Ovis aries: one gene and its partners. The protein of the gene in region 4 purifies or fractionates together with the protein of the main gene of each other region. This does not show direct contact. Links are inferred from orthologs where the notes say so. Each region holds a gene or a part of one and is shown on either strand. Other genes may lie near its edges.

Region 1 (4,107 bases), on a different chromosome or scaffold from region 4:
CTGCTGGCCGAAGATCGAAGAGCACACAGTCTACCCAGCTCAAGTGGGAAGCCAGGTCCGTGCGGCCACCTGCACACCCAGAATCCACATCAACAGAACTAGAACATCCACAAAGATCATGGGTCTCTACGGTACATAAAAGCCTCAAAATCAGAGGGGGGAAAACCAAACTGGGAACCCAAGATGTCAAAAGGGTCAAAAGAAAATGAAAGGAGTGAGGGAGATCACTTCCAGAAGAGCCCAGAGAGCGCAAGGGCCCCTCCACCACCATTCAGAGCACCCAGACGCCCTCGGTTTACAGACCTGAACCAACGGCCTGGCCTCCTCAGCAAAGCATGCTGGAGAAGCTGGCACGGCCAAGGGGCTGGGGGCGGGGGCCACCCCATGGCGGTGGGGGGCTGGCCTGGCATCCTACCCTTGCCTTTAGTCTGTCCCAGATATCCCCAGGAAGTGACAGAAGCCAAGAGACAGTAAGTGCACAGAATCCTTTGCTATGCAGGAGTAAAGTCTAAGGGCGAATTTAGGATCTCTCTTTGGGGTCGTTTTAAAGGCATGTCTCTCCTGTGATCACTGTCATACTGCTGTATTCCACTGTCTCAGGACCCTCTAAAATTGACTCCAAAACATTCTTTCACACATCTGAAACATAAGAACACACGGAATTGGTATCATCTTTAAAGGTGCACATCACACACACACACACAAAATTATAAAGAAAACCCCACCAACCAAAACAGAATACACAATATCAAAACACAATCTAATTTCTGCACTTCTGAAGAAAACTGCCTTAGCTCCAAGCCACACACAACACCACACTAGGACAGTTTGCTTTTTATTATTATTATTCTTGTTGTTGTTTTACAGTAAAAACAAATAGCTATGCTCTCAGCAAAACAAATTTTAAAAGAAAAAAAATCACAGAAATTTACTAACAGCATTTCAAGATAAGGCTTTCGGAAGATTTATTGAAATAAATTATCTCAGCCTAAACACGTACTCATCGCTCTATTTTCAGTTACTTCTCAACATCCTAAAAACTTTGTTATGTAAAATACATTTAACTTTGCCAATTTTAGGTAATACTGGATTCTTCCCAAAAGGACTACCATAAAACTATGCTTTCAAACATTAAAAAAAAAAGAAAACTTAATCCAGTAGGACATAAAACTGAACTATGTAAGCTATGATTGCGTGTTTCAAACCCTTCAAGTGAAATTTGTCAAGGATTTGAAAAAGTTCAGATCTGGGTCTGCTCCAAGGCAGGTGGAGGCAACACCTCACCTTTTAACCAACACAGTTATGAAAATGAAGGGCTCCAGGGAAGAAAGCTACAAAAGGTATCATTTGTTTCTTCAATGAAGCCCTCCAAGGAGTACTCTCCCATCCCCAAAGACCAAACCCACAGCCTTTGGCATTGCCTAATTGACTTTACCAAGGAATTAAAACCACGAACCAAAGCTTGCTGCTTAACCCTGTCAGTGCTGACCTTCCCCATGTCTGGGGGCAGGTGGGCAGGGGACAATGAAATACAGAGAGGAGAGGATGGACACGCGGGGCATACTCATAGATGGAGGAGCACCAGCATTAACGGAAGTAAAGCCAGCTCTGGACAGGGGGCTCGGAAAGTCCCGCATGTCCTGGGACACAACTGTCACCTCCTCACACCACATCCCTGGGCTTTCCCTTGCTCTGCTCCAGGTATCAAACCAAACACGGTTTTTCCATGAGGCCCCGCCAGCCCAGGGGTCCAGAAGCCTGTAGCTCTGGCCTCACTCTGTGACATTCTGAATGCCTCCTCACTAAGAACAGCAGCTGGACAACAGAAATTACCCAGTGGTGTGGAGTCAGGCTCTGTCTGTCCATCTCCACGCTGCTTTGTATGGATCCCCCTGCCTCCAACCCCCATCTGCTGCACACACACTTCCTGCCACATTTGGAGCTAAAGACACTGGCATCTGTTATGACTTCTGCATAAGGCAGGTATGGACGTTGCCTGCTTCAGGTCTTTGGTTGCCCACCTCCTCTTGATCCTCCCCACCCGTCCAAAGTCCAGTCAATGCAGAAGAGATCATGCCTAGAGTTAAAATGTGCAGTGTTTCTAAGGGAAGAAAAATGTCACATAGAAAGTATTACAAAAAAGGATTAAATCTGTCAGCTGTCCAAACACTATTAAGACCACATGCTTTATACAGCGGCGATGCAGTCAAGCCCGCTTCTTCACACAGCGGGCGCAACTGGGGACAGGCCTCTTCAGCAGGCCGGGCACGCGGCTCGGGCGGAGGCGGCGCGGACGGCAAGGAAGCGCTAGGAGGCCTGCTGCTTCTGAAGCCTCCGCTCGGCCGCAGCGGCCAGCATCCTTCGACGCAGGGCCACAGGGTCAGAGGCCGTCCCTTCTGAGGGGAGGCAGCTCTCTGAGGCCGAGTCATCTTCAGAGCTTCTGTTCAAGAAACGCCTACCAAAAACCAAAGGTGCAAGTGAGGGACCCGGGCAGCTCTGGAAGGCAGGCACACAGACACACACTATGTGCTTCCGTAATTTCCCCCTCCCCGGCACGGCCACGAAGTCACTCAGCACCACCCCGTAAACCAGACACCCAGCCCTGAACGGAGGGGCGGAAGGTCTCTGCAGCGGAGGCTGCTTAGCCCCTCCCTCTCCTCCACCCCCTGCACACACACAGCATGAAGTCCCTACTCACCAGGCTGGCGCTGGGCACCAAGCCCACCCACGGGAACAACACACCAGCCCTGTCACCAAATGTTTAACTACCCAGTGCCTGCCAAGTCAAGAGAACATTCTCCCTCTGGCTGCCCCCACCCGGGGCTGGGGCTTGCGGGGATGTAGCCGTGCTCCAATGCTGGCCGTGCAGAGTGGCCAGGACGGAGGACTCGGGAGCTGGGCACCAGGCCGGCATGAGGCCCTCGAGGCCTTGGTTTCTTCAGCTTCAAGTCTGTTTAATGGGGATAATCACCGTGCTCTCTCTTAGAGTTAAGAGAATGAGAAAGTAGTTAACATAAAGGGTCTAGAACACGTTGGCACAGAAGTACTAAGCACGGGAGTGTGGGTTAAAGCGCCCACAGGGGACGCTGGCAGCGCTGGCCAGAGGTTATCGGGTGGCCCAGTATTACCAGATCCTCTGGCTTCTCAGCAGAGATTTGAAACTGGAAACTGCAGGTGACAGGTGCTAATGCTCCAACGCTGGCATCTATGGCTAGGACGCTCAGGTCCCGGGACTGGATGGGAGGTGCCCTGCAATGGCACTGCGGGCCCGCTTACCTCCGCGCCTGCTGCAGGAGGTCATCCTTGCGTTGCACCAGCATGCGCTGCCTCTCGTCCGCGGACTTGGAGAAGCGGCTGCCCCGGGCCTCAAAGTCCTCCCCCTCACTGGGCTCCACCTCCAGCTCGCCAAAGTCCAGCGCCTCCTCCAGCCGAGGACTGAGGTCCAGCGGCACCCGCTCGGTCTGGACACAAGGAAGCAAGGGGTTGCTATGAGCAGTCCAGTTCCCCACCTGACCAGAGCCCCTCGTGATGCTCTTCTAGACCCCAAAGGAGACAGGCTGCCAGGCAGGGACCGACAAACACATGTCAGCAGACAAGGGTTCCTGATGGGCAGGGCCTGACTCACCACGGCATGTTCAACACTGGGGAGTAAGTGAAGGATTACCATATGGAAAACAGAAGCACCTCGAAACTGTACTGTCAGAAGACACACAACTACTAATTTGCATTCTGGGAATTTTCTGTTCACCACTACTTATGGCTCTAAAACTTCAGCAAGTCTTACCACATGTACTGCACAAATTTTATACCCTCATTTGACTCTGAAAACAGCTAGGCAGATAAGAAGGGTATATTCTTAGTATCTTTTTTAAAACAGACATGAGATACTGTGCTTGAGTCACAAGATGTAATAATGGGGCTCTCTCCATTATAGATGCAGCTGTGAAGGCCAAGACAATGCCCAAGGCCCTTCGCAGGCTCGGTTAGGGGCCGTCTGTGTTGCTCGTGCTTCCAGACCCAGGCTGGCCAGCATCAGCCCAAGGCAAAGACAGAGTTGAGGAGCAAGTGGCTGAGAAGCCTGTTTTAAAGAGTTTCTGGTGGGAGCGC
Region 2 (4,545 bases), on a different chromosome or scaffold from region 4:
CGCCCCCCATCCTGGTCTTTGGGGAGAAGGGACACTCTCAGGCCCTTGTCCCTGTAGGCTGTACCTTACTTTCTTCCTTCGTATAGTCTCCTTACTCACCCACGCTGAGACTACCCGTCTCTGCAATATAGAAAAGATGTATGCTTTTTTCCCAATGGAAATTGGACATTAGGCTTAATTTCTTGAAAAAGTGAGGAAGAATGCTGTTTCCTCTGGGATGAGCATGCCTCCTTAATTTTGTAGTCATGTACCTAGCTCTCTCTCCACCATACTCCCATCATCCCCTTGTCAGGATCATCCCATCACTCTCCACTCCTATTGGGTCTCCTCTTCTCCCTCTCAATGACCTTTTCCCTAAACCTCTACACGTCGCCTGAACCTTAACCTCCTCTGCCATAGGCGACTCCTAATTTCTCATCTTTCCTCACTTGAGTCACGTGGGGCCTTTTTATCAGGATGTTGTTGAAGAACCCTCAGCTTGTGTCTGGCCTCCAGCCCCCAGTCACCTTTGCCCTGAAAAGGATGTAAAGAACACCGGTAACTCCAGGACTGTTACCTAGTTCTGCTCCTTGGGCTTCAGTGAGGGCCACTGACTGTAGAAGAGGCCCAAACTTGTGCGAAAGGCCCACGCTCTGAAGCAGCCTGCCTAAGTCCCAGGGGTCCAGCCCAGGAGGAAGACCCCAGTTCTGCCGGGCACAGGAGAAAGAAGGGGCGGGTCGCCTAAAAGGGGGCGGGCCTTGCCTCTTGCACCCACTCACAAAGGGAGGGGGGCTAGGCCTTTTCTGCTTTTAAGATTTAAAACGGAGTCGAGGTCAACTCGTTCTACTATGTGCCACGTTAAAAAGGGGATGGGTCTTCAGTTCAGTTCTGCTCTGTAAATCACCTAAAGAGGGGCGGGCTGAGTCGTCCAGCCGAGGGAGATGGGTTAACACCAGCGCTGCAGATCGACGTTCGCACCATCCAAACGTCGGGCTAATCCTAGTCCTGCTCCCTTCTTCACTAAGAGGGAGGGGCGGACCCAAGTTCTGCTCTCTACGTCACCGAAGGAGGCCGAAGCCATTTTGAACCCTGCGACCCTAGTATTTGTCCTCTTTTCCGAGCTCGTCGCCGTCTTTCCCGATCTCGGCCAATCAGGAGCGAAAAAAGGGGTCCAATCAGTCGAGAGAGACCTCAGTCGGAGGACCCGGATGAGGACGAGCCGAGGCCTTTGAACCCCAAACCCCGCCAATTGTGGAGCAGTCACCATGGCGACAGTATAGAGGTGAAGGGGTGGGACCAGAGAAGGCTCAATCCTCATAGGATTGGCCCACCCCGTCCCTGCCTGATGCGCTCGCGCACTTTACCTAGCTACCATTTTCTGTCGAGGTGTAGCCAATCAGTTGCTTCGGAGCCAAACGCTCCAAAGTCCAATAGGAATCTGGATATTCTCTGAAAGAGGAAGTAAAAGAAAGACTGGGTCTTGTAGTGGGCGAGGTCTAAGCAGTCTTGAGCCAATTGCTTCTGGCCTTTGGTTATGACTGGCAGTTACTCAGACGAATAAAGCCCGCCCTAGCTGGGTGACAGGACGTATGGAGTTGTTACCAATCCCGTGGCATTGCCGACTAACTGTGACTGTGTCAGCCAATAGTCATTGTACAAGGGCGGAGCCACGTGATCATCTTTCCGCCCCCGCCTTTTGGACCAATCCTTCCTTCCGATTCTGTATGATTGGCAGGCACTCAGGCCAATAGTGATTAGAAAACTTTGAAGCCTGCCCAAAGACCGTGGGCCGGAGGAGGTTTCTCGTTTCTCGGGGCGTCTGTATGTGTGTTTCGGGGGACTAAGGGGTACGCGGGGGACGAAAGAGTACCGGCCATGGCAGCAGCGGAGGAGGAGGACGGGGGCCCCGAAGGGCCAAACCGCGAGCGGGGCGGGGCGGGCGCGACCTTCGAATGTAATATATGTTTGGAGACTGCTCGGGAAGCTGTGGTCAGTGTGTGTGGCCACCTGTACTGGTGAGAATCTGAGAGGGGCAAAAATAACTGGGGCTCACATCTATACTGGGGAGGTTGGGGTGGGGGTGCCACAGTCATACGGGCAACCAGAGGGCACATTTTCATAGGTGAGGCCTGAGGGGGCTTCTTGCGTCTTTTTGGGTATGTGTGGGTGAGAGGGTCACGTCTGTATAGAGGAGACCCGTGGAAAGTCGTAGGAACTAGGCTCCAACTAGTATGTTAAGAAATGGGGCGCAGGAGGTGGGTACCGCACATCTGTGCAGGTGAGACCCGAGCCACCTTAACCTCTGGAAATTGAGGGGTCTTACTTAGCTGTACATTGGAGGAGGAAATGGCAACCGACTCCGGTATTCTTGCCTGGAGAATCCATCCCAGGGACAGGGGAGCCTAGTGGGCTGCCATCTATGGGGTCGCACAGAGTCGGACACGACTGAAGCGACGCAGCAGCAGCAGCTGTACAGTTGGGAACGGATTAGACTGCAAGGTTAGGGGAGATCTAGAGAACGAGGGATCACATTCAGGTGAGCTGTGTCAAGGGGTGGTATGAGAAACCTCCGGACAAGAGCACGGTGGAGTAGCAGCCCCCAAAGATTAAGGAATTGTGGAAGTAAGGTCTTTATTGAGCATAGGAGATAGGAAAAGGAGTAATGGGAGAAGGTAGGTGCTGGTAAAGGGGGTTTGGTTGGGGAGTGATGGCGGCAAGAATGAGAGGAGGGCTGAAAGGAGCCTGCAAAGGGGTGGTTGAAGAAAACTGGAAATTAAATTGAAAAGCAGAGAAGGAAGGGGTGAGGATTTGTATATGTATGGGGTGTGGGGATTGCGGTAGGGAAGAGGAGAGAGGTGAGGGTTGAGCCTGTTGAGAATAGATGTAGCTTTGGAAGGTTAGAGAAGCAGGATGGCCAAATTGGCTGGCATGGTAGGAGTTGTGGAAAATATGAAAAGAAACAGCAGGTAATACCTGGTAACAGCGAGGTGGGACTCTGAGGTTGGGTAGGTATCTCTTTTGTGTTTGGTTTCAACTGGTTTGACCTTTGTTTTCCCCCTTGCAGTTGGCCCTGTCTTCATCAGGTGCGTACTCAGAGGAGATGAAGAGGGAAATGGGGAGGTCTGAGGAGCTGGAAGAACCCTTCTGTGTACTGGAAACCACATTTTTTTCCCCCAGTGGTTGGAGACACGGCCAGAGAGGCAAGAGTGCCCAGTGTGCAAAGCTGGGATCAGCAGAGAAAACGTTGTCCCTCTCTATGGGCGAGGGAGCCAGAAGCCCCAGGATCCCAGGTAAGAGAGGGGAGGTGGTACTGAAAGAAAGTGGACACTTCTTTCTGGGGAGTGGGGTGTAGAAGAGGAGGGAATATTGATAGTCCCTCTCCTCTTCCTCAGATTGAAAACCCCACCCCGCCCACAGGGCCAGCGACCCGCTCCAGAGAGCAGAGGGGTGAGTCTTGTCTGATTTGTGTTCCTTCCTTGCCAAAGACTCGCCCAGTTTCCCACTGACCTTCTCCGCCTCCCTAGGGATTCCAGCCATTTGGTGATACTGGGGGCTTTCACTTCTCATTTGGTGTCGGTGCTTTTCCCTTTGGCTTTTTCACCACCGTCTTCAATACCCATGAACCGTTCCGTCGGGGTACAGGTAAGAGTCTGCCCTCAACTGCTACCAGCAAGTCCTCTGAATCCCCTGGCCTATGAGTGGATGCTTCTTTCACAGCTCTCTTCTCTCCCACAGGTGTGGATCTGGGACAGGGTCACCCGGCCTCCAGCTGGCAGGACTCCCTCTTCCTGTTTCTCGCCATCTTCTTCTTTTTCTGGCTGCTCAGTATTTGAGCCATGTCTCCTTCCTGCCCACCACCAGCCAGAGGAGAATCAGTATTGGGGGTCCCTGCTGACCCTTCCTTACTCCTGGACCCTCCCCACCCAAGCCCTTCATTTCTGTTGGCTAAGGCCAACCCTGGCCACTTTCCACAAGGATGTGTGGAGAAGGAGTGACATCTGTGCATAGGATAGGAGAACCTGTGCTCTGGACTGCTCCCTCAGTAGCGTCATAACTCCCAGCTCTGGGAGAGGAGGATGGACTAAAGACAGTGTCTGTCTCTCGTCTCTCCCGATCCTTTGCTTTCCACCATATTTCTTGATTTGATGTTGAAAGGTGGGCAAGGCTCCCTCTGACTCTTCTCCCATGTTCCCCTTGATTTAATTTAATTTTTCTCTCCCCAGTGTCTAATGTGGGTCCTGACTCTCAAGTGCTTCCCTCCCCTCACTACCTCCTTTATGATAAATTCAATAAACATGATGAGATGTATTCACTCTGCCTACGTTTGTCCGTCCCTCCTTCCTTTCAAGACAGGAGCATCTTCTCCCCAACTTGAGCAGATATTGGTGTGGTGTGGGGAAGCATGGGGGAGAGGGCATCACACAACACACACAGCAAATGTGGCAGGTGTTTACTCATCACTTTCTGTGGGAGGCTCTGGTTGTGGAAGAAAGCTGGCGGGAGGTGGGCTGAAGATTATACAGAGGAGAACTGGGCTGGGGCCGGAACAGACTGGGAAAAGAAAAG
Region 3 (4,635 bases), on a different chromosome or scaffold from region 4:
TCAGCCTAAGATTGAATCCTAGATGGTGTAACTGGGGGCAAGGGATGAACCTCCCTGTCCCAGAAGTCTTCATCTGTCAAATGGGAACATCACGGTAACTACCTCAGAGGATTGCCATGAGGCTTAAATAGAGGCTGCCTGTGCAGAGTGGGGGCTCAGGAATACACTCAAAGCCCACACCCAGGACAGTGGTCTCCCCCGCTCCCCATCTTCCGCGGCACACAAAGATGGCCAGGGGCCCGCTGTGCACAGGGGTGCCCGCTTCGGTAACTCCAGGCTAAGACCTGGTACGGTTCTGTTCTGGGCACTTCTGCAGAGAATGGAGGCAGCTGAAACTCAGAGCTTCCCGTCCGACCTGGCTTCCCTACCAGGTTGCTCTGTGAGCCTGGACTACTCACTGTCCCTCCCTGAGCCTTATCGTTCTCATCTGTAGAAGCGAGAAAAGATACACACCCAAGCAAATGCAGAGGCGGCGAGACCTACAGAAGACACCGACGGGACAAGACCTACAGAAGACCACCGACGGGAAAGATACAGGAGCTGCGCCAGCAGAAACATACTCCCTCCTAGGTCGCTGGATGCCAAAGCCAGCCCCCACCCCCTCACTTCCACTTCTGCTCGCAGAGGGCCCCTTTAGTCACCAGGAGGAATTGGGGAGGCCCTGGATAGGCTTGGGAAGCAGGAAAGGACCCCTGGGCTGCTGTTACTATGACAGCAGATGGCCTGGCCCCAGCCTGCTCCATCCTCCTTGCATCCCCAAGGCTTGCCTGGGGAGCGCAGGGTCCTGGAGGCCCCTGGCCAGTGGAAGGCATACTTACGATTCACTGTCCCAGGTCAGGGCTGCTGACTGAGGCTGAGGAGACAGAGCCCTGTCCTTGCCCCTATTTAACCACTGGACCCAGAAGGGCGAAGGGGGAGGCTGCTGGTAAACATTAACCAAGGTCACCCCAGTTATCAGAGGAACAAACAAGGACTAAGTCCATCGGCTGGACACTGGACTGCCTGCTCACGTTGTCCAGCGGTGCTCCTTCTGGGCGGCACGCAGCCCTGTGCTCCATATCCCTGAGAGAGTCTTTGTGCCCAGCTCATAAACCACAGCATCCTGCATCCAAGCTGGGGTGGCATTGATGCCGACATTCTAGGGGATGGCATGATTTTGCTGGCCTGCAATCCACTGGGGAGCTCTCAGTTGCTGCTTCATCAGTAGCAAGAGCTACCACTGATGGAGCCACCTTGAAATGCCCAATGCTCACTGCTGGGATTTCCCTGGTAGTCCAGTGGTTAAGAATTTGCCTGCCAGTGCAGGGGACATAGGTTCGATCCCTGGTCAGGGGAGATTCCGTATGCTGTGGGGCAACTATCCCATACAGTGACTGCTGGAGCCTGTGCCCTAGAGACCGTGGCCCGTAACCAGAGAAGCCGCTGCGATGGGCAGGCCGTGCACCACAACTAGAGTAGCCCCTTTGCCACAGCAAGAGGAAGCAGCAGCGAAGAGCCAGCATAGCCAAAAAAAAATTAAAAAACAAACAAACAAAAGGCCCACTGCTGAAGATGCAAGGGGTAGAGAATGTTATGAGCTCAGCTGGCAGATAGAGAAACTGGTCATCTACCTCAAGTCACCAAGCAGACACAAAACCGCTCTCGCCTTCCCTGGAAAGAAAATGGGTCCTGACTGCAGTTGACACAGCTACCTAAGGCTGATATGGGTGGCATGGGCACAGGCCCAGGGTCAGAGAGTAAATCTATAGAGGGTTGTGTGGCCTCAGGCAAGCTGGTCCATCTCTCTGAAACATGGGGTAGTTTCATTTGCATCCTAAGGCCTTGGAAGTCCCACTTCCAGCTCATTGCCAGGGATGTGGAACTCACTTATGTAAAGCACTGGGCACATACTAGGCTCTTGATTTTGATCTGCACAGCCCTCTGCTCACACCTGCTCACCAAGCTTCTCCAGGTGGGAGGAGGTGCAATTCCTGGCCAGCCTCAGGCCTGTTTCTGTTTCCGCTGGATCTGGCTTCCGGCCAGCTAACTCGACCCACAGGCTGCCTGAATTTTCCTGGGACCTGTGGCTCCATCCAGGAGCTACGGCTGGCTTTTGGGGGCACTGGTGGTGGCCAGGGTGGTAGTGTGGGATTGAGGCCAGTGGGGCCCTACTGGGGTGGTGCATGTAGTTTGATGCCAGTCGCCTTGGGCTTTTCAGTGGGTTAGAGTCCATTTAGAAGCCTGAGGCAGTTGGCATCATGCTGTGTGCACCGCCCTACACACCCTTGGCACGCCATGTACACTCGGTATTTGTTGAGCCAGTGGACAAGTGTGTCTTTGTCCTCCGCTCATCCCCTGGCCCCAGCTATGGGACTGTGCCTGGCGAATAGCCTGTAGGTTCCTCTACTACACAGGTTTAGACCAGGGAACCCAGCATCCCCACTCACTGGCTGTGAGATCTCAGGTGAGTCATTTAATCGCTTCATGCCTGTTTCCCCATCTGTAAAATGGGGATGTGACAGTTTGTACCTCGCTGGGCTGCTGTGAGGATTAAATGCAGCAGTTTCAGAGCTCAGAGCCCAGCGTCGGGAGCACATGGTGAGCCCTGTGCCCATGGGTCTCCCTGCTGTGATTCTAGGTGGGTGGTCTGGGGATGAGGGGAACATTCCAGGAGCTTCCCTCCAGGCTTCCCTTACTCAGTCCTCTCAGTGTCCCTGTGAGGAGAGTGTGTACCACACACCCCCCCAATATAGGAGCAGAAATGAGTCCAGGGAGGGAAGGACTCTCCGCTCCTATCTCTCCAGACTTTCCGATTCCACAAGCTAGCTTCAGAACACTGACTCTTTCTCCTGAGCTGGCTGAAGGAGTTTCTTACCCAGGGCTCTGCACCTACCCGTAGCTTGAAGACCTAGGGTGTGATGAAACAAGGCTTGCCCTCCGTACCTCCTGGACATTTGTTCCCCTCCCCGTGCCTCAGTTTCCCCATCTGTAAAATGGCCTCCCTCCATGCCTGGCTGCCCCTTTCAGCTCTCTCACTGAGTGGGTGTAGGCAAGTGTCCAGGCTGTTGCCACGCTTAGTGCCTCTCAGCCTGGTGTTCTGGGGCAGGTAGGAAGGTGCCCCCCTATCCCCCTTACCTTCAATGCCAGGTTCTTGTGGCAGAAGGAACTCCTCCTCCCCTGGGGCTCCTGGAGGCAGTGTGTGCCCTAAGCGTGGCGTCCAGGCTCTGCCAGCGCAGGAGGAAGGAGCTTCTGGGTGGTTCAGGCAGCAGGTCTGGGAGGGGTGGGGACCCTGGGCAGGAAGCTGCCTTGCACAAAGCTGCCAGGAGCCAGGCAGATGCCAGAAAACCCTTTCCAGCCCAGGCGGTAGTCTTGTGTGTCACCTGTTGTCCCTGCTGTGTCTGGCTGTGTGACCCAGGATGAATCACCCAGTGCCTTTGAGCTTCTGTAAGCGGGCTGGTAGCACCTGGCAGAGCAGATTAAAGGGCATGACAGGCGTCTCCTTTTGGCCCAGAGCCGGGCATCAGCGTTTTGGCAGGTTTTCAGGGCCACCTGTGGAGGGAGGCAGCCTAAGCCACCTCTGAAATGCACAAGGGGAGCCCCACAGAGACTGAGATGGGCTGTGTTTATTGGGGAGGGTGTGTTACAGACGCTGGCTGCAGGAAGAAGGGATGTAAGATCTTAGGGGGGACTGGGGCACTTGGAGGAGGAGTGAAGAAAGGATGTGAGGCAGGGCTGGGGAGAAAGTGAGGGGCTCTGGGTTGGGACCTGTTCCTTTTGAGTCCAGGGCTCCATGCTCAGCCCTTCCTCGTCTCCCCATCCTCCCACTGCCCACTTCTGTAGTATTTCACACTGCAGAGAGCTCCTCTGGACGTGCATCCTGGGAAGGAGCGGTGGGATGATCCGGGAAATTGGGCAAGCACAGAATGCCTGGGGTGGGTCCACCCAGGGGCCATTCTCCAATCACAAATCAGAAGCCAAGCTGGAGAAAGTTCTGTCCACTTGGTTACTTCTGGAACTATTGATTGTTGTATCCAGACTGATTCTCTGGGAGTGAGTGTATCCTAGAAAGATGCTGTGCGCTGGCTGTGAATTGGCGGTGTCGGGGAGACCCTGTCCCCCCATAATCCTGCCTAGATATGGGAGAGGGATGGAAATAAAGATGAAGTGTGAAGTCTGCAGCAGGAAGGGAGTGAGGGGAGGCGTATAGACCAAGTAGATGAAGGACCAGAGGCCCTGCTTGGTCCAGAGAGTGAGGGAGGACTTCAGGGATGCTACATCTGTTGGCAGTTTCCCAGAGAGTGTGGGACCTAGCCTACACTGACTGCCCCAGGCACACACACAGACACATCAATGTACCCCCGATACTCACTATGGGAGCCCCCTTCCAGGCACCAGCTCCCTTCTTCAGGGGGCACTGTGGCTTAGTGGCTCAGGCATGGGCTGGGGGGCTGAGCATCTGGATTTAAGCCTTCACTCCACAACTATCTGATGAGATCTTAGCTAATTAACCTCTTTGCACCCCCATTTCCTCTTCTGTGAGTTGGGGAATAAGAATGACCACTTATACCAGGACTGTGAAGAGCCAGTGTGATGATAACACACAAGACAGTCTCAGGCACAGATGGGCCCTAAGTCAACGCCAAACATGTTTTATCT
Region 4 (4,805 bases):
CATTTCACCAAAACAAATAGAAAAGAATATGCAATTCTGGCTGCACACTCAGATCATCCTCTAATACCCAACTGCCTTACTGAACTTCACCCAGATGCCTACAGGATCTTTAGACTTACTATGGCCAGAATATAACTCTTTATCATACCCTCCTCCACCCCCAAAACTCGGCCTCCCTAAACATTCCCAATCTCAGAAAAGGGCTCCACCAGCGACTCAGTTGCTCCTGTGAAAACAGTGACCTCTTCGAGACCTGCTTCTTCACCCATTCACCCTTTGCATCCATGAGGCTGCAATCTTGCCCACTCCAACTCCAAACCTATCCACTTCTATCTCTGAGACACCCTGATCCAAATCACCATCTTTCTTGCATTCTAACTTGACTTACCTCGCTGGTCCCATTACCTAGCCCTCCCTTGCCACCATTCACAACACCAAGTCCATCCCACAGAGTTGTTTAGTCGCTAAGTTGTGTCTGACTCTCTTGTGACCCCAGGGACTATAGCCTGCGAGGCTCCTTTGTCCATGGGATTTTCCTGGCAAGAATACTGGAGTGGGATGCCACTTCCTTCTCCAGGCAATTTTCCTGATGCAGGGATCGAATCCTGCATTGCAGGCAGATTCTTTACTGTTGAGCCACCAGGGCCTCCCCTCACCCCATAAAGAGTAGCCAAGAGAATATTTCAGTCAAAAGGCTCTAAAGGCTCTGCCTTTCTAGTGCCTTCAAATTAAAGTTCAACCACAAAGCCCCAGCCTACTTTTCCATCTTTGCTTTATTGTACTTACCCCCGGCTATCTCTCTGTCCTCCCTACTAATCCTCATCCCTCCCACTGACTCTGCACTAACCATTCAGTCTTCTTCCTGATTCTAATTCCTGCCTCTAAGTCTTTCACTTATTCTTTCTTCTTCTTGCAAAGATTGTCTCCAGAGCCACATCTTCCCAAAACTGGCTCATCTTTCAGATTTCAGTTCAAATATACTCTCTGACGCCTTTCTAGAATACTCTATCAAAGTCACCATCGCATGCCTCTCTTATTTTCTTCCTGTTCACTGTTGTACCCCTAGTGCCCAGCACTGGTTCCATGCATTCAACCAATAAGTAAGCACTTGCTATGTGCCAAACACGGATCCAGGTAACAGACTGGTACACAAGACAAGCGGTGCTTGTGGAGTTTTATTCTCTGAAGGGAAGCAGGCTGACGGACACCAAGGGGTGATATGCAGCAAGAAAAACTATCAGGAAGGGAGACAGACTGAAGGAGAGGCACTGTTTTAGGGCAATCATAAATGCCAATAAGGTGGCATTTGGGCAGAGTTGAAGGAGGTAAAGAGGTAAACTATGTTTACCGTACTCAAGCAGAGAAACATCATGTGCAAATGTCCTGAGGAGGGATGGCGTTAGGTGCTGAAGAAACAGGAAAGATCCCACTGTGGAACCTAATGTACAAGGTGAAGAGTAGGAGGAGATGCGCTCAGAGAGGCAGTAGGAAGCCTTGCAGGCCAAAAGACTTGAACTTTACTCAATCAGTTGAGAAGACATTAAAAGGATCTGGGCAGAAGACTGACAGGACATGGATTTATGTTTTAAAAGGATCACTCTAACTGTCTGGAGTTAAGACTGAAAGGAACCAGGCTGGTATGAAAATGGCTTGCAACAGAGAATAAAAAGGGACTGCATTCTGGATATTTGTCTAAAGTAAACAGAATTTGCTAACAGACTGGGATGTGAGAGAAGTCAAAGATGACTCCATGACTATTAGCTTGAGCTCCTATAAAAATGGAGTTGCTATTTACTCCTAGGGGAAAGGGTACAGTGCTGGACACATTAAGTGTGTGATGTCTGTTAGTCATCTAAGTAGTCATTTCAAGTATATGGTTGGGCGTACAAGTCTGGAACTGAGACAGATCTGGACTGAAAGTAGGTATATTTGTATTTGAGAAACTTCAGCTTGTAGAAATGACTTAAAGCCATGAACTAAACGCGATCACCCGCAGCTAGGGAGAATACAGAAAAGAGGGCCTGGGGTACACCACAGTATTTAAAGATCAGGAAGATGAGGAACCAGCAAAGAAAACTAAGAAATAGCCAGCGAAGAGAGAGAAGACAAGACAGCGTTACCCACAGTCCAAAAAATGTGTTGAAATTAATGTCAGATCTTAGTATCCGACCTGCACTGATTAAAGATTTAAATCACAGAATCCGGTGAATAAAGATAAACCTCCAGAAAACTAATATTCGCTTACTAGGAATATTACCCTGGACTGTTTCCTTAATGCTTAAAAAAAAAAAATCCATTTCTGGAGCAATTTACTCTTTACTCGGTCCTTCATAAATTCAACTACGACCTGCCAGATACTAAGGACTTGGGAGACACACAAACAGACTCACTCTTTGCACCTCAGACTTTCAAATCACTCCTGCTGGGAAGAAACTTCATTAACATAAAAAGAACTCGGCTGGTGGTTGAGCAAGGCGACGTCCACATGCCACCCACGTGGATGGCAGAGCGAGGTCGGAGGGCAGGTGCTCCAGGTGGCCCCAGCCTGCCATTCACTGGCGTCCCACAGATCGACAACTTATCAGTCTTACCTTCCCAGTGGCGCCTTCTCGGAGCCCAGAGGGCGGGGAGCACAATCTTAACAGGACAAAATCAGTCCCTTCCCACCGGGCCAAACCCTGGAGCCTCCGTGTCTCCAGCAATCCAGGCCCACGCTCGGACGCTTTGGCAAAGCAGTCCACCCGTCAGTCCACCCGACTCCCGGACCAAAGGACCCCGCCCTAAACCGCGGGAGCCTCTGCACTACAAATCCCATCAGGCACCGCGCGTCCGCAACCGGCCAGTCTACGCTCCGCCGCGGCGGGGCCACTTGGGGTCTGTAGGCGCCACTTGCCCCGTCGTCGGTCAGTACCTGAAAGCGATAGAGGAAGGCTTCGGGCCAGAGGAAGAAATAGGCCGGGCTGATGAGACCGAGTTTGCCGACTAAGGGCACCGCGACGGTGGCGGCGAACCAATAGCGCGTGATGGTCGGGATGCTCCTAAACCAGTCCCCGATGTCCGACATCTTCGCCTCTTTGGTGGCCGGGATGCGCGCAGCCGCCCGACTCCCCGTCCCGGCCCCCTCACGACGCGGCCTACTCTGCGAGTGGAAAATGTCCAGGCGGAAGCCGCCCCAGCCCCCGGTGCAGAAGGCGGGGACCGGCGGACGTGGCGCCACCGAATTCGGACCAGCAAGGGAGAGCTCGGCGGCGAAACTTCCCCTTCCGGCGGCCGCCGACGAAGTTGACCAGAAGCCCCGCCGCTTAAAGGGCAAGCATACTTTTTCACCACTGGGTAGAAGCTTGGCGTCTCGGAGGCGGGGCGGAGAGGGGCGGGGCCGGGCCGGGCCGACAACACGACTGGTGGGGAACAGTGGTTGCCAGCAGCAACGACAAATATTCCGGCCAATGGCGAGACTGAACGCCCTCTACCTAGTCCTGCGGATTTATAATCCAGGTGGGTCTACTTGGCTAGTATTTAAAGGAGAAGGAGGAGATTAAACTACCACGTAGCTGCTCATTGGTTCATTGTTTGGGACAAAAGTTTGTTGAGGGCTTGCTAAGTGCCAAATAGGGTTCTAAACCCTGGAGGTGATGCAATAATCAGAGCTGTTGTACCTTCTCCCCTGGAGCTTACATACTAACCAAGATAGGGAGATAATGAGCAAATAATTGAATAAGATAATTGCAAGCGAGTGATAAGAAAAATAAGGAAAATAAATTAGGATATTGGGGGCTAGAGTGGCAGGGCCGGAGTGCAGAAGTGTGGGGAGAGATGGCCACTTTTAAAATATTTTTTTTCAGATTTTATTAAGTTTTGGTCGCACTCTGCAGCATATACGATCTTAGTTTCCCAACCAAGGACTGAACCTGAACCTCCTGAAATGAAAGACTGAGTCTTAACCACTGGACAACTGGAGAAGTTCCTGAGAGATGGCCACTCTAGATGAAAATAGTCAAAGAGAACTTGCAGGAGGTGACCCTTGAGCTGAGCCCCGCCCCCCCAAGCAAAACTCTGAGGAGTTTTCCAGGCAGAGAAAATAGCCAGTTTGCACACACATAAAAATGTTCCCTGCCATGTCAGTAAACAAAGAATGTTGACTTCCATTTCAGTAAACAGTGACTATTGCCTGCCATCAAGCCATCAGCCACTGCAGCACCCAGATAGTGGGCGCCCAGGAGGAAAGCAGGATACTGGCTCTAAATAGTTAAGATGCATACCTAAGGTATAATTTCAATGAGCCAGATTCTTGCATCTTCCCGTAAATCAGAAATCACTAAACCATTAACTTGAGATGTCTGGTTTTTGTGATTAGTACTAATCTTTTCATATTTGACTATGTGCTTTGTTTCAGCAAAACCTCCTATACATCCTGACTTCTCCCTTGCCTCTTCGGAGCAGTTCTTCAGAGCTATGTTGTTGTTTAGTCACTGAGTTGTGTCCAACTCTTCTGCGACCCCCACAGACTGTAGCCCCGCCAGGCTCCTCTGTCCATGGGGTTTCCCAGGCCAGAATACTGGAGTGGGTTGCCATTTCCTTCTCCAGGAGATCTTCCTGACCCAGGGATTGAACCTGTGTCTCTTGTGTCTTCTGCAGTGGCAAGCAGGTTCTTTACCACTCGCACTACCTGGGAAGTAAATTCCTCAAATAAAACCTAACTCATGACTTTTAGGTTATGCAGTTTTTCTTCAGTCAACAGCTCCAACTGGCTCGGATTGTTGAAGGAACTGAAAGCAGAAATGATCAAGACTCAATCTAGTTTGCTG
Region 5 (4,842 bases), on a different chromosome or scaffold from region 4:
GCGGCAGGTGGGGCAGGGCACGCGGCTGGCCAGCCAGGTGTCGGGGCGCTGCGGGTCCTGGCGGCTGGCGAACCACTTGCCCATGCAGGCGAGGCACCACATGGGGCGGCAGCGGCACTGCTGGCACGCGCCCGCGGCCGCCGCCTGGCAGCGCTTCACCAGCTTCACGCTGGCGCGGGCCTGCATGCAGCCGATGCAGGCCTCCAGGTCCTGCGGGCAGGCCGGCGGTCAGAGGGGGCTCGGCCGGGCTGCCTGGGGACGGGGGTCCTGCCCTACCCCAGGAGAGGCGGTCCACGGCGGCCCGGCTGTGGGAACCCACCTCCCCTGCCCAGCCCCCTACCTGGCTGCTGGGGACCGAGTAGGCCGGGTTGACCTCCACCAGGGAGGCGAAGGTCTCCAGGAAGAGGTCGCCCAGGCTCTGGTGGATGACCACGTTGGCCACGCTGCGGATGGGCGCCCGGAGCTTCTCACACAGCTCGCCGTACTCCGTGGAGTTCAGCCTGTAGAGGTGGACGCTGCTGGGCGGGGCCCACTAGAGATGGCCGTGGGTCCAGAGCCCACTGGCCCAGTGCTGCCCATGGGCCTCTCCTTGGGACATGCGGAGGGGCCCGGAGGGTGGGAGAACTGTAGCAGAGGGCCTGGCCCTCGGCAGGTTCAGGCCCAAGACGGGTCCAGGAGGGGCGGGCAGGCCTGCCACAGCCTTAACTAGACAGGAGCACCTCGGCCCCGGCCCAGGCTCAGGGCTGAGGGAGCCACCCAGCATCTGTCCCATACAGTGGCCCCCAGACACCCCCTGTGTGCTCCCGCCGAGGCGCCGGGAAGACAGCTCAGAGCAGGCTGGGAAGAAAGAGGAAACGCAAAGGACCTGAGGGAGGGGCACTCCAGAAGGACCAGCTCCCACCCACCCCGGCCCCTGAGCAACACCAAGAGCGACCAAGGGTGCACCACCCCAGCGGCCCCAGCCGCAGGCCCGCATACCGGATGTCGAAGGCCTGCACGGCAGGGTTGGCGCTGGCCACGCGGATGGTGAGCAGCTGCACGGGCAGATGTGAGTCTGGGGAGAGGTCGTGCTGCTGGGACTCCATCAGGGTCAGGTGCACGTCCTGCTGCTGGGCCACGTGCACGCGGTACGTGGTCACCTTCATCACCCATGTGTCCGTCACGATCACACGGGCACCCGGCACCCCGGTGGCAAACTTGTCAATCCGCCGGAACTCCGTGTTCACGGAGGAAGCCACAGCCCGCCAGCCCGACCGTGGGAGGGCATAGAGGGCCAGGGTGCGGGCCAGGGGGTGGCGGGCCCACCGGTCCCGGGACCAGTAGTAGATCAGGGTGCAGGTGATGGTGGGCAGCATCAACGCTAGCAGGAGGAAGGCCCGCCAGGTCTCCGGGGTCTGGCTGGGGTAGTAGAGCTGCTTTTCCGAGGCTGCAAAGCACATGCCCACATAGTAGCCTAAAAGGGACGGGCAAGCTTCAGCAGAGGTTGGGACTGCCCGGCTGCCAGCCTCCCCAGTACTGACCCTATCCCTTGGTGGGACTGGGGGAGGCCTCTTCCTTTAATCCCCAGCCTTGGATCTGGCTCTCTGCCACGGTCAGCTCCCAGGGCAAGGCCGTGGTACCCCAGGGCAGGTGGGCCTTGTCCAGCTCCATAGCTGACTCAACTGAGTACCTGTCCAGTGAGCAGAAAACATTCTCATCTTACTACTTTAGCTTTGTAAAACCACATATGAGTAGAGGAAATAAAATGAGAAAATCCTAGAAAAGCAAAAATAAGCACAAGGATATGGTGTCACCCAATGCAGAGCTGCCCACAGGCCGTCTTGGGACTGGATCTCAGCCTCTGGGTCCCAGCTACTCTGAGGAAGCAGACCAGAGTATGGCCCATCCCAGAACCGGGACGTCGTGGACCAGACAGTAAACAAACAGTGACAAGAGCAAGGGACATGGGAGCCAGCTCCAGGCCCCTGGTGGCCAGATGGGGGCCAATTTGCATATCAAAGTTAATAACGTGGATACTGACCTGCAGGAAGGGTTTGAAGTTGCAAAAATAGTAATAAATGCTATTGATCAAACTGATACATGATAAGTAACTCATGTGGCAATAAACAACACTTCTCTGAAGTTCCAAAAGGGCTTCTCTAGGACTTCCCAGGCCGTGCAGCGGTTAAGAATCGGCCTGCCAACGCGGAGGACAAGGGTTTGATTTCTGGGCCCGGAAGATCCCACATGCTGCAGAGCAGCTAAGCCCGGTGCCACAACTACTGGAATCTGCGCGCTTTAAGGCTTGCAACAGAGTATCTCCCACGCGACTAGAGAAAGACCTCGGGCAACAACGAAGACCCAGCACACCCGTGAATAAAATTATATATTTTTTAAAGGGTAGGGGTGAGGGTGGGGGCCTTCCCTAGTGTTCAGTGGCAAAGATCCTGCCTGCCAATGCAGGAGATGCGGGTTCGATCCCTGGGTCAGGAAGATCTACTGGAGGCGGAAATGACACTCGACTGCCGTCACCCTCTCTGCCTGCCTTTCCCGCACCCACCTTCCAAAGAGATTGGAACAGGCCACCCCTAGGGGCATCAGTTAACTCATACCTGACCTGTCCGCCGAGAGCCAGCTCACCACTTGCCCCAGTGAGCAGAGCACCCCCTTCCCCAGGGTTCTGAGCTCGCCTCTCCGCCGGGTACCTGCAAGGGGCAGCACTTCCCCGAGCACACGGGCGCTCCCCTCGCAGCCTCGGCTCTCCAGCACGGGACCCCGCCCCCCGTCCCTCCCGCTCCGGGTTCCGGAGGTCGGCGCCCGGCTCACCGAGGGGCAGCAGCGAGTGGCACAGCAGCGTGGCGGCCGTGCGGCGCAGGTGATAGGGCACGAAGGCGGCGTCTTCGCTGCCCAGCCAGCCGGACAGCAGGTTCTGCACCGTGAGCCCGGCCGAGTGGAACTCGGTCGGGGTGAACACGAAGCACACGGCGAACACCAGGTAGGCCAGCGTGAAGGTGACCTCAGGGCTGTCCATCGCGCCGCCGTCGCCGCCGGGAAACCGGCCCGGCGAGGCCCGCCACCCAGCGTAGCGAACCGGCCACAGCGTCCGGGTCCGGTAGGCGCCCGGCGGCGCGGGGCGCTCTGGGAAACGGAGTCCCTGCCCTCGGGGCACTCGCGGGGCGCTCTGGGAGATGGAGTCCCGCGGAGTATTTTGGGAAATGAAGTTCTCGAGCCCCTCGTTCGACACCCGCCCCCCCACACATCGCGAGCCGCCCCTACAGTTCTCGCGAGGGTTTGGCTCTTCCCCCACGACCCGCTTGGGGGCGGCGCTGCACTCGATCCCATTGGCCAGCTGGGGAAACTGAGACTCGGGGGAGAGGCTCTCGGGCCCTAATTTCCGCGCAGCTCAGGCGCGTCCGCACCAAAGCCCGGGATTCCTGGGAGACGGCGGGCTCCGCAGTCACCGTCCACCCGCGTGCGGCCTCCCCTCTAGGCGCGTCAGGAGAACCGCCTTTACTGAGGAATCCGGCGACCGCCGCGCCCAGCGTGCCCTCGCCCCGGAAACGAAACCTCCTAGTGGGCGTGGGCTGGCGTTCTGCCTCCCATTGGCTGTCGGCGCCCCGCGCCCCGCCCCAGCCACGCGCTGATTGGCCGCGCTCGCCAACCGTCGGTATTTGAATCGGCGGCGGGCAGAGGGGCTCCGGAACTCGGCACCTCCCACCCTGGGCTCCGCGCGGCGGCCGACAGGTAAGGGGGCGACGGCGGGGGCCCGGCTCGGGGCTCCGGTCCTGCCTCTTGCCGGGGCTTGGGGCTTTGTCGGCCTGGGTCTGCCTGCCGCGCTGGCGACCTCCCCGCCCCAGACCGGGGCCTATGCCGCCTCCGGCTCCGCCCTCCTCGCGGTCTGGGCCGTTCTCCCGCCGTCCCTCACTCCGCCGGCCCGGCCGCAACCGGGAGCAGAGCAGATGGGCTCCCACCCCCGCCTCCCGGGACGCCCGGTGATTCCGAGCCTGAGTCCACGCGCGCTCGCTGCCCTGCGCCCAGCGCTGGCCTCCCGATCCCCGCCCCTCTGGGTCCAGCCCCACCCGGACCCATCGCCGACTCCTGCCGCACCTGATTCGGCAGACCCCCCTCACCCTAGGTCGCCAGTCCCTCCCCGCCTCCCCGGCCAGCCCTCCTCTTCTCAAAAGACCCCTCCTCTTGAGCAGAAGCCCTCGTCATTAGCAGAAGCCAAACTCCGGAAGGCTGCAGTCATTGTTCTCCCACTTTCCCCAGGGCAAGGAGGAGGTCTGCCAAAAAGGCGTCCTGTCTGCTCTCCGTCCTGTGTCCTGCAGCCATCCAGCCCCCCTCCCCTGTTTACCCAGGTGTTCAGGCTAAACCTCAAGAGTGAGTGGCCCCTAGCTCAGGCTCATCTTTCCCGTCTCCGGACGCAGTGTGTGAGCCCGATGCCAAGAGGGACTGACCACGCCCCCTGGCCCAGTGCCAGAGCCTCTGACCCCACCCCCCACCCCCCTCCCCGCTTCCCTCCTACCCCTCCTGTCGTCCACAGGCAGCCCCTACCCCCAAGCCCTTCGAGGTGGCCTGTCACCCTGACCTCCCCTCTTTTAAAAGCCACCCTTTCTCCCGTGCCTCAGCCACCTGGCCTCCTCAACCACAGTCCCCAGGGTCCCCACCGCCAGCGAGTACCTGTAGTGCCCCCACGAGGCAAATGCCCAGTCCTCTGGTGACTCCTCAGTTGGGAGTGCCATGCCACTGACCATCGTGAGGGCCTCGGGAAGGAGGAATGAGACTCCCCTGGAACCCCTGGGCCTGATTGGAGGCCCCTGGTGGAGACACTCAGCTCCCCACAGGTGACTCCACACCTGCTGC
Region 6 (4,275 bases), on a different chromosome or scaffold from region 4:
TGTTTGCTCTGTGAAATGGATGGATTTTGAAATGAAATTTCACTGTAATGCGGTAATTTTGTATCTCCAAGTCATCCTGGAGAAAGCTATATTTGATTTCATAGTTGGGGTGTGTGTGTGTGTGTTTTCTCACTGCCCTTTTTCTCTGTGACCTCTGCAGGTAATCCACGACTTCTTATTCTCCTTGAAAGAAAGCCCTGAAAAGTTTCAGATTGAAGCCAATTTTCCCCGAAGGGTGCTGCCCTGCCTCCCTTCAGAGGAGTGGCCCAACCCCCCAACGCTGCAGGAGGCCGGACTCAGCCACACAGAAGTTCTCTTTGTTCAGGACCTAACAGACGAATGACACTTTTTCTTCCTCTTCTCTCCCACCCCAATCCCCAAAAGAAATGGAAAAAAAAAAACACACAAAAATAAGAGAGATTGATATTATTATTATTATAATACAATATTTTTTTTAAAGACTGCTGCGTCCTAAGGAAGGATCAGAAACCATGCTGCCTGCAAGAGTCACCACCTGTGTGCGCACGCGAGGTTAGCAATGAACGTTCCCGCTGGCAAGCCCACCCTTCCCTACTCCCTCTTGCACCATACACCTTCCAATGAAAGGAGACTCTGCCTCCAACCCAGCCGTTGTCCCAACTGGGGAAGGGGACATTCCCACTAGATCTCATGCATTCTTGCTTTTATGGAAAATAAAAGTGAAAACCTTCATCAAACAGCTACTGCAGCATCTCCTGAGGACTCGCTTCTCCCACCTCCAGAGAAGAGGGGAGAGAAGGCACAGAGCGGAGAGATGTTCCTCAACTTCCTACAGTTCATGAATAATTTTAATTTTTTTTCTGTTGCTTTGTAATGACCAAAGGAATGAGGCTGACATAGATGTATTTGTTTTCCTTAACATTATTTGATAAGGAGCCAGTTTTTAAACCCATGAATCCTTGCCCTGGGCTCCTTAGCCCACAAGAGTGTAATAAAGGTGCCCTGGGCTGGTTTATGCTTATTTCTGCCATTGTCCCTCTCACGTTCCCAGAGAGGTGGTTCTTTTTGGTCCAACTCTTGCTGTCCTTTCTTGCCACCTATGCACCCCGCTTGGGGCAATGGGAGGAAGTCCAGGTTTGTACCCCTGCAAAGGTGGTGTATGTACCAATAGACCCGTATATATGGTATGAACTCCATGTAGATTTACCTATACATAAAACTGCAGCTTTTCCTTGGAATCTGGATCAGTGGTCATTATGGGGTCTGAACCAAAGGATGGCAGTTCATTCCTGTTCTGACATGTGCATGCTCTTTCTGCCCAGCCCTGAGCCTTCCTGAATTGCCAAGCTTGGTGCCTTTCCAAAGGACTAACAGGGCCTGTGATGCAGCCAACAGAACCATGTGAGAGGACCTTGCCTATCTCCTTAGGAATTGGCGGTAGTGGTGGTTTAAGGATTGAAAGAACCATAGGCTTGAAGGAAGTCAAGACAGAACTCAGCCTGTGTAAATTTTTGGAAGGCACAGTTAGTTCAGTTTTTGATGTAGCCGCCTGCTGTGGAGACAAGTTTTTATCCTCTCTATTGCTGTTGAAGTAGTAGGGGTTTTTAGCCTCTGGATGTCTTGTCTGTGGTTGAGTTTATGGTAATGGGTACATGGGTCAGGCCATGTATTAGCATGAGCTGACAAGTATTCCAAGGTGTTCTGTGGTAGACTGGTGTAGACCCAACACTGCAACCTACTGAAGTTACCACAGTTGCCTAGCATTTGGTGAGGCCAGGGGCTCATACCAAGGTCAGGCACAAGTTGCTGGATTTGCAGTCTCCAGAGGCTTATCTCCTGCTTAGCTAAACCTGAGGGCCATCCTTTTAGGTTGCACTGACATGGCTGCTATTTGCTGCTGCCCTCAGTGGTTGGGGTAAACACCACCAAGGGCAGGTGGGGAGCCCCGTAGGTGTCACCTGAGGACCTTGAGAATTTCGCAGTGGCCTTGGCACAAGTGTCAACAGCACAATCTCCAGGAAAATGTAACCCCGCTCCTGCTTCTGTCATCCTTCCACTTTGTTTCCTGCCATCCCATGACCAGATGAGTGGGAGATTGCTGGCTGTTGGCATAAAATGTTATCTGAAGTGAATTCCGGGATAAACCATGTTCTCCAGGCCACCTTATGTGAGAAGTTTGCTTCTTGCTGACAAGCACGCAAAGAGGAATTTTTTCAGTTAACTCAGAACCAACCTGCCTGCCTAGAATTTGCATTTCCCTGGCAGGACCTTTGCCAGGCTGGATGTACCAAGTCTGCTCAATAGTTCGATCTGCATCTCATTCTACAGTGTGCACCCTGTGCCTCTTGCCTTTTGCTAACCTGACCAGTGAAGGAGGTCCAGTGCCAGAGTATTGAAGTCTATTTGTGTCAGTACAACTCTCAGGATGGCCTGTCAATTTGCTTTGTTTTGCTTTTGTCATTTTTTTTTTTTTTTTTTTTTTTTTTTTACCGCTGCTTTACTCAGAGCAGTTCCTGTCTTCTTGCTGATCGAGACCTGCCACTCATCCCACTCCTTTGCTCCATGAAAGGTGCACATTTTGTCAATGCCGGTACAATCTGTATGTTATTCCCAAGGACCTCTGGGAACATGATGGGACCTTCAAGCAAGAAAACAGAGAAGCTGGTGATCCACAAGCATTTGCTCTTGTTTCCAAATCGCCTGATTATTTCAGCTGTTTTCAAATGCCAAGTCATCAGCTAAACAAAAACACTTGTTTCCAGTTTTGTTCTGCATTTCCAAGACTGAAGTAGTAGATTCAACTGAATTTCCGTAGGAAGTGACCAAGCAAAGATACCCAATTGGAGTCAGTTGAATTTCTGTAGCCTCAGTTTTTTCTTCAACACCTGCAGAATTTCCTGCAGCAAATACTTCTTTGTCCTTGCTTTCACTATAACGTTTGGATAAAAAATGGCCAATGGAGAATACTTCTTTAAAAAAGAAAGACTATAAACAAGCTAAAAAGAACCTAGAATCTTCAACTGAACAGTCATTATGAACACTGCAAATGGTGCCAAGGCCAAGGAAAAAGTTACGGAAAATGACTGTGGGAAGGAGTGATAACCCCCAGAACGCAGTCAGGGGAGTATTAATCTGGTGCTTGAACAAGGAGCTCCACTTTAGAACTGGTTTTGTTTTTTTTTTTTTAAGGACTTGCGAGAGACGCAGCAACAAGAAATCCATCCCCCAAGGATGCAGTGTCCAACTTGTACTGCACCTGAATAAGTTACATGACAATTTACTGAGGAAATCTAGTGTACTTTAAATTTTTTTCATAAAAGTTTACATTGTATTGTAGGTTAACATTAAATGTTTTATAACAAAATTTTCATACCAAGTTGTGGGTCTTTCTGTCTGGGGGAGATGTGGTTCTGTCTGAAGGCAAGGTTGGAAAACATCAGGGAAGGGAATATTGCCAAGAAGAGAGGGTCAAAAAGAAGCAGGGAGTCAAAACAGACCTATGATGTGTTCCTGTGAAAATGGCAGCTCAGGAGTGAATAGAAAGCTGGCGGATCTGTGTGCAGATTGTGGTCTGTCACTTGTCAGTCTTGTGAGCCTCTGTCTCGGGTCCCCTGAGCTTTAGTTTCACCCAAATGTAAATGAAGTTAATACCATCTGCCTCAGGATGGGCTTGCAGATAAAATCAAGTAAATGGAGGGGGGGAAAAACTATATATATAAAGCACCTGATGCAGGTGTCGTTTGTTCCCCTTTCTCTGAGGAAGTGTATTTTGAAGGTATATTTTCTGGTGTTAATAATGATTAGTTTATTAAGGAATGTCATTTCTCCTGCCTGTACAGACCTATGTTCTTGCAAATGAGTGGCTAGAGAAGAGTCACTTTGGATCTAACAGATTCTTGACTTTTAGAACTACCCTCCTAGTCTGTTTTTGCTCTTATTTTTATTTCTGAGGAGATTTAAGCCTCAGTTCTTTGCCTCTTTCCTACTACCTGTCCTGGGCAAAAAACTCATTTCTATAAGTTTTTGTCACCTGCAGAGTCTGCCCTGTTGCTTACCCAAAGATACATATATGTATTTTTTAACCCACATCTTAAGTGCAAACTAGAATGTCTTCTCAGTCTAGTAAGTCTGCAATAATAGTTAATTCACCTTAGGTCAGAATCCCCTAAAAATGAAAACTTTACAGTTGATTGTTCACAAGATTTGCTTGATTGCTAACATACAAAATTTGTTTCATCTATTAATAGTCAAGGAAGATGCAGACTCTGATGCCAGGTACATCTGGTCACAAATCCT

What was found.
Region 1: the proteins of DERL1 (region 4) and AMFR purify together in Homo sapiens (affinity purification with western blotting; 4 studies listed by BioGRID, with this or other methods). This does not show direct contact. The link is inferred for Ovis aries from reciprocal best matches to the Homo sapiens genes DERL1 and AMFR.
Region 2: the proteins of DERL1 (region 4) and RNF5 purify together in Homo sapiens (affinity purification with western blotting; 4 studies listed by BioGRID and IntAct, with this or other methods). This does not show direct contact. The link is inferred for Ovis aries from reciprocal best matches to the Homo sapiens genes DERL1 and RNF5.
Region 3: the proteins of DERL1 (region 4) and SERPINA1 purify together in Homo sapiens (affinity purification with western blotting; 4 studies listed by BioGRID). This does not show direct contact. The link is inferred for Ovis aries from reciprocal best matches to the Homo sapiens genes DERL1 and SERPINA1.
Region 5: the proteins of DERL1 (region 4) and TMEM129 purify together in Homo sapiens (affinity purification with western blotting; 3 studies listed by BioGRID). This does not show direct contact. The link is inferred for Ovis aries from reciprocal best matches to the Homo sapiens genes DERL1 and TMEM129.
Region 6: the proteins of DERL1 (region 4) and FAF2 purify together in Homo sapiens (affinity purification with western blotting; 4 studies listed by BioGRID and IntAct, with this or other methods). This does not show direct contact. The link is inferred for Ovis aries from reciprocal best matches to the Homo sapiens genes DERL1 and FAF2.

Annotation. Positions count from the first base shown.
Region 1 is NC_056067.1:23,748,461-23,752,567, reverse strand, and holds the end of AMFR (E3 ubiquitin-protein ligase AMFR), read right to left. Parts: intron 3,462-4,107; coding exon 3,277-3,461; intron 2,456-3,276; coding exon 2,308-2,455; 3' UTR 823-2,307; downstream 1-822. UniProt on the Homo sapiens protein: E3 ubiquitin-protein ligase that mediates the polyubiquitination of lysine and cysteine residues on target proteins, such as CD3D, CYP3A4, CFTR, INSIG1, SOAT2/ACAT2 and APOB for proteasomal degradation.
Region 2 is NC_056073.1:26,283,894-26,288,438, reverse strand, and holds RNF5 (E3 ubiquitin-protein ligase RNF5), read left to right. Parts: upstream 1-1,745; 5' UTR 1,746-1,854; coding exon 1,855-1,994; intron 1,995-3,043; coding exon 3,044-3,062; intron 3,063-3,156; coding exon 3,157-3,269; intron 3,270-3,371; coding exon 3,372-3,426; intron 3,427-3,503; coding exon 3,504-3,621; intron 3,622-3,714; coding exon 3,715-3,812; 3' UTR 3,813-4,296; downstream 4,297-4,545. UniProt on the Homo sapiens protein: Membrane-bound E3 ubiquitin-protein ligase that mediates ubiquitination of target proteins. May function together with E2 ubiquitin-conjugating enzymes UBE2D1/UBCH5A and UBE2D2/UBC4.
Region 3 is NC_056071.1:56,847,437-56,852,071, forward strand, and holds the start of SERPINA1 (alpha-1-antiproteinase), read right to left. Parts: upstream 3,206-4,635; 5' UTR 3,115-3,205; intron 888-3,114; exon of another isoform or gene 819-887; intron 1-818.
Region 4 is NC_056062.1:29,742,217-29,747,021, reverse strand, and holds the start of DERL1 (derlin-1), read right to left. Parts: upstream 3,285-4,805; 5' UTR 3,065-3,284; coding exon 2,912-3,064; exon of another isoform or gene 2,868-2,911; intron 2,768-2,867; exon of another isoform or gene 2,592-2,767; intron 1-2,591. UniProt on the Homo sapiens protein: Functional component of endoplasmic reticulum-associated degradation (ERAD) for misfolded lumenal proteins. Forms homotetramers which encircle a large channel traversing the endoplasmic reticulum (ER) membrane.
Region 5 is NC_056059.1:117,520,122-117,524,963, reverse strand, and holds the start of TMEM129 (E3 ubiquitin-protein ligase TM129), read right to left. Parts: upstream 3,108-4,842; 5' UTR 3,011-3,107; coding exon 2,806-3,010; intron 1,454-2,805; coding exon 979-1,453; intron 501-978; coding exon 341-500; intron 211-340; coding exon 1-210. Other genes in the region: TACC3 (transforming acidic coiled-coil-containing protein 3), read left to right, coding at 4,720-4,823.
Region 6 is NC_056058.1:35,705,520-35,709,794, forward strand, and holds the end of FAF2 (FAS-associated factor 2), read left to right. Parts: intron 1-160; coding exon 161-343; 3' UTR 344-3,343; downstream 3,344-4,275. UniProt on the Homo sapiens protein: Plays an important role in endoplasmic reticulum-associated degradation (ERAD) that mediates ubiquitin-dependent degradation of misfolded endoplasmic reticulum proteins.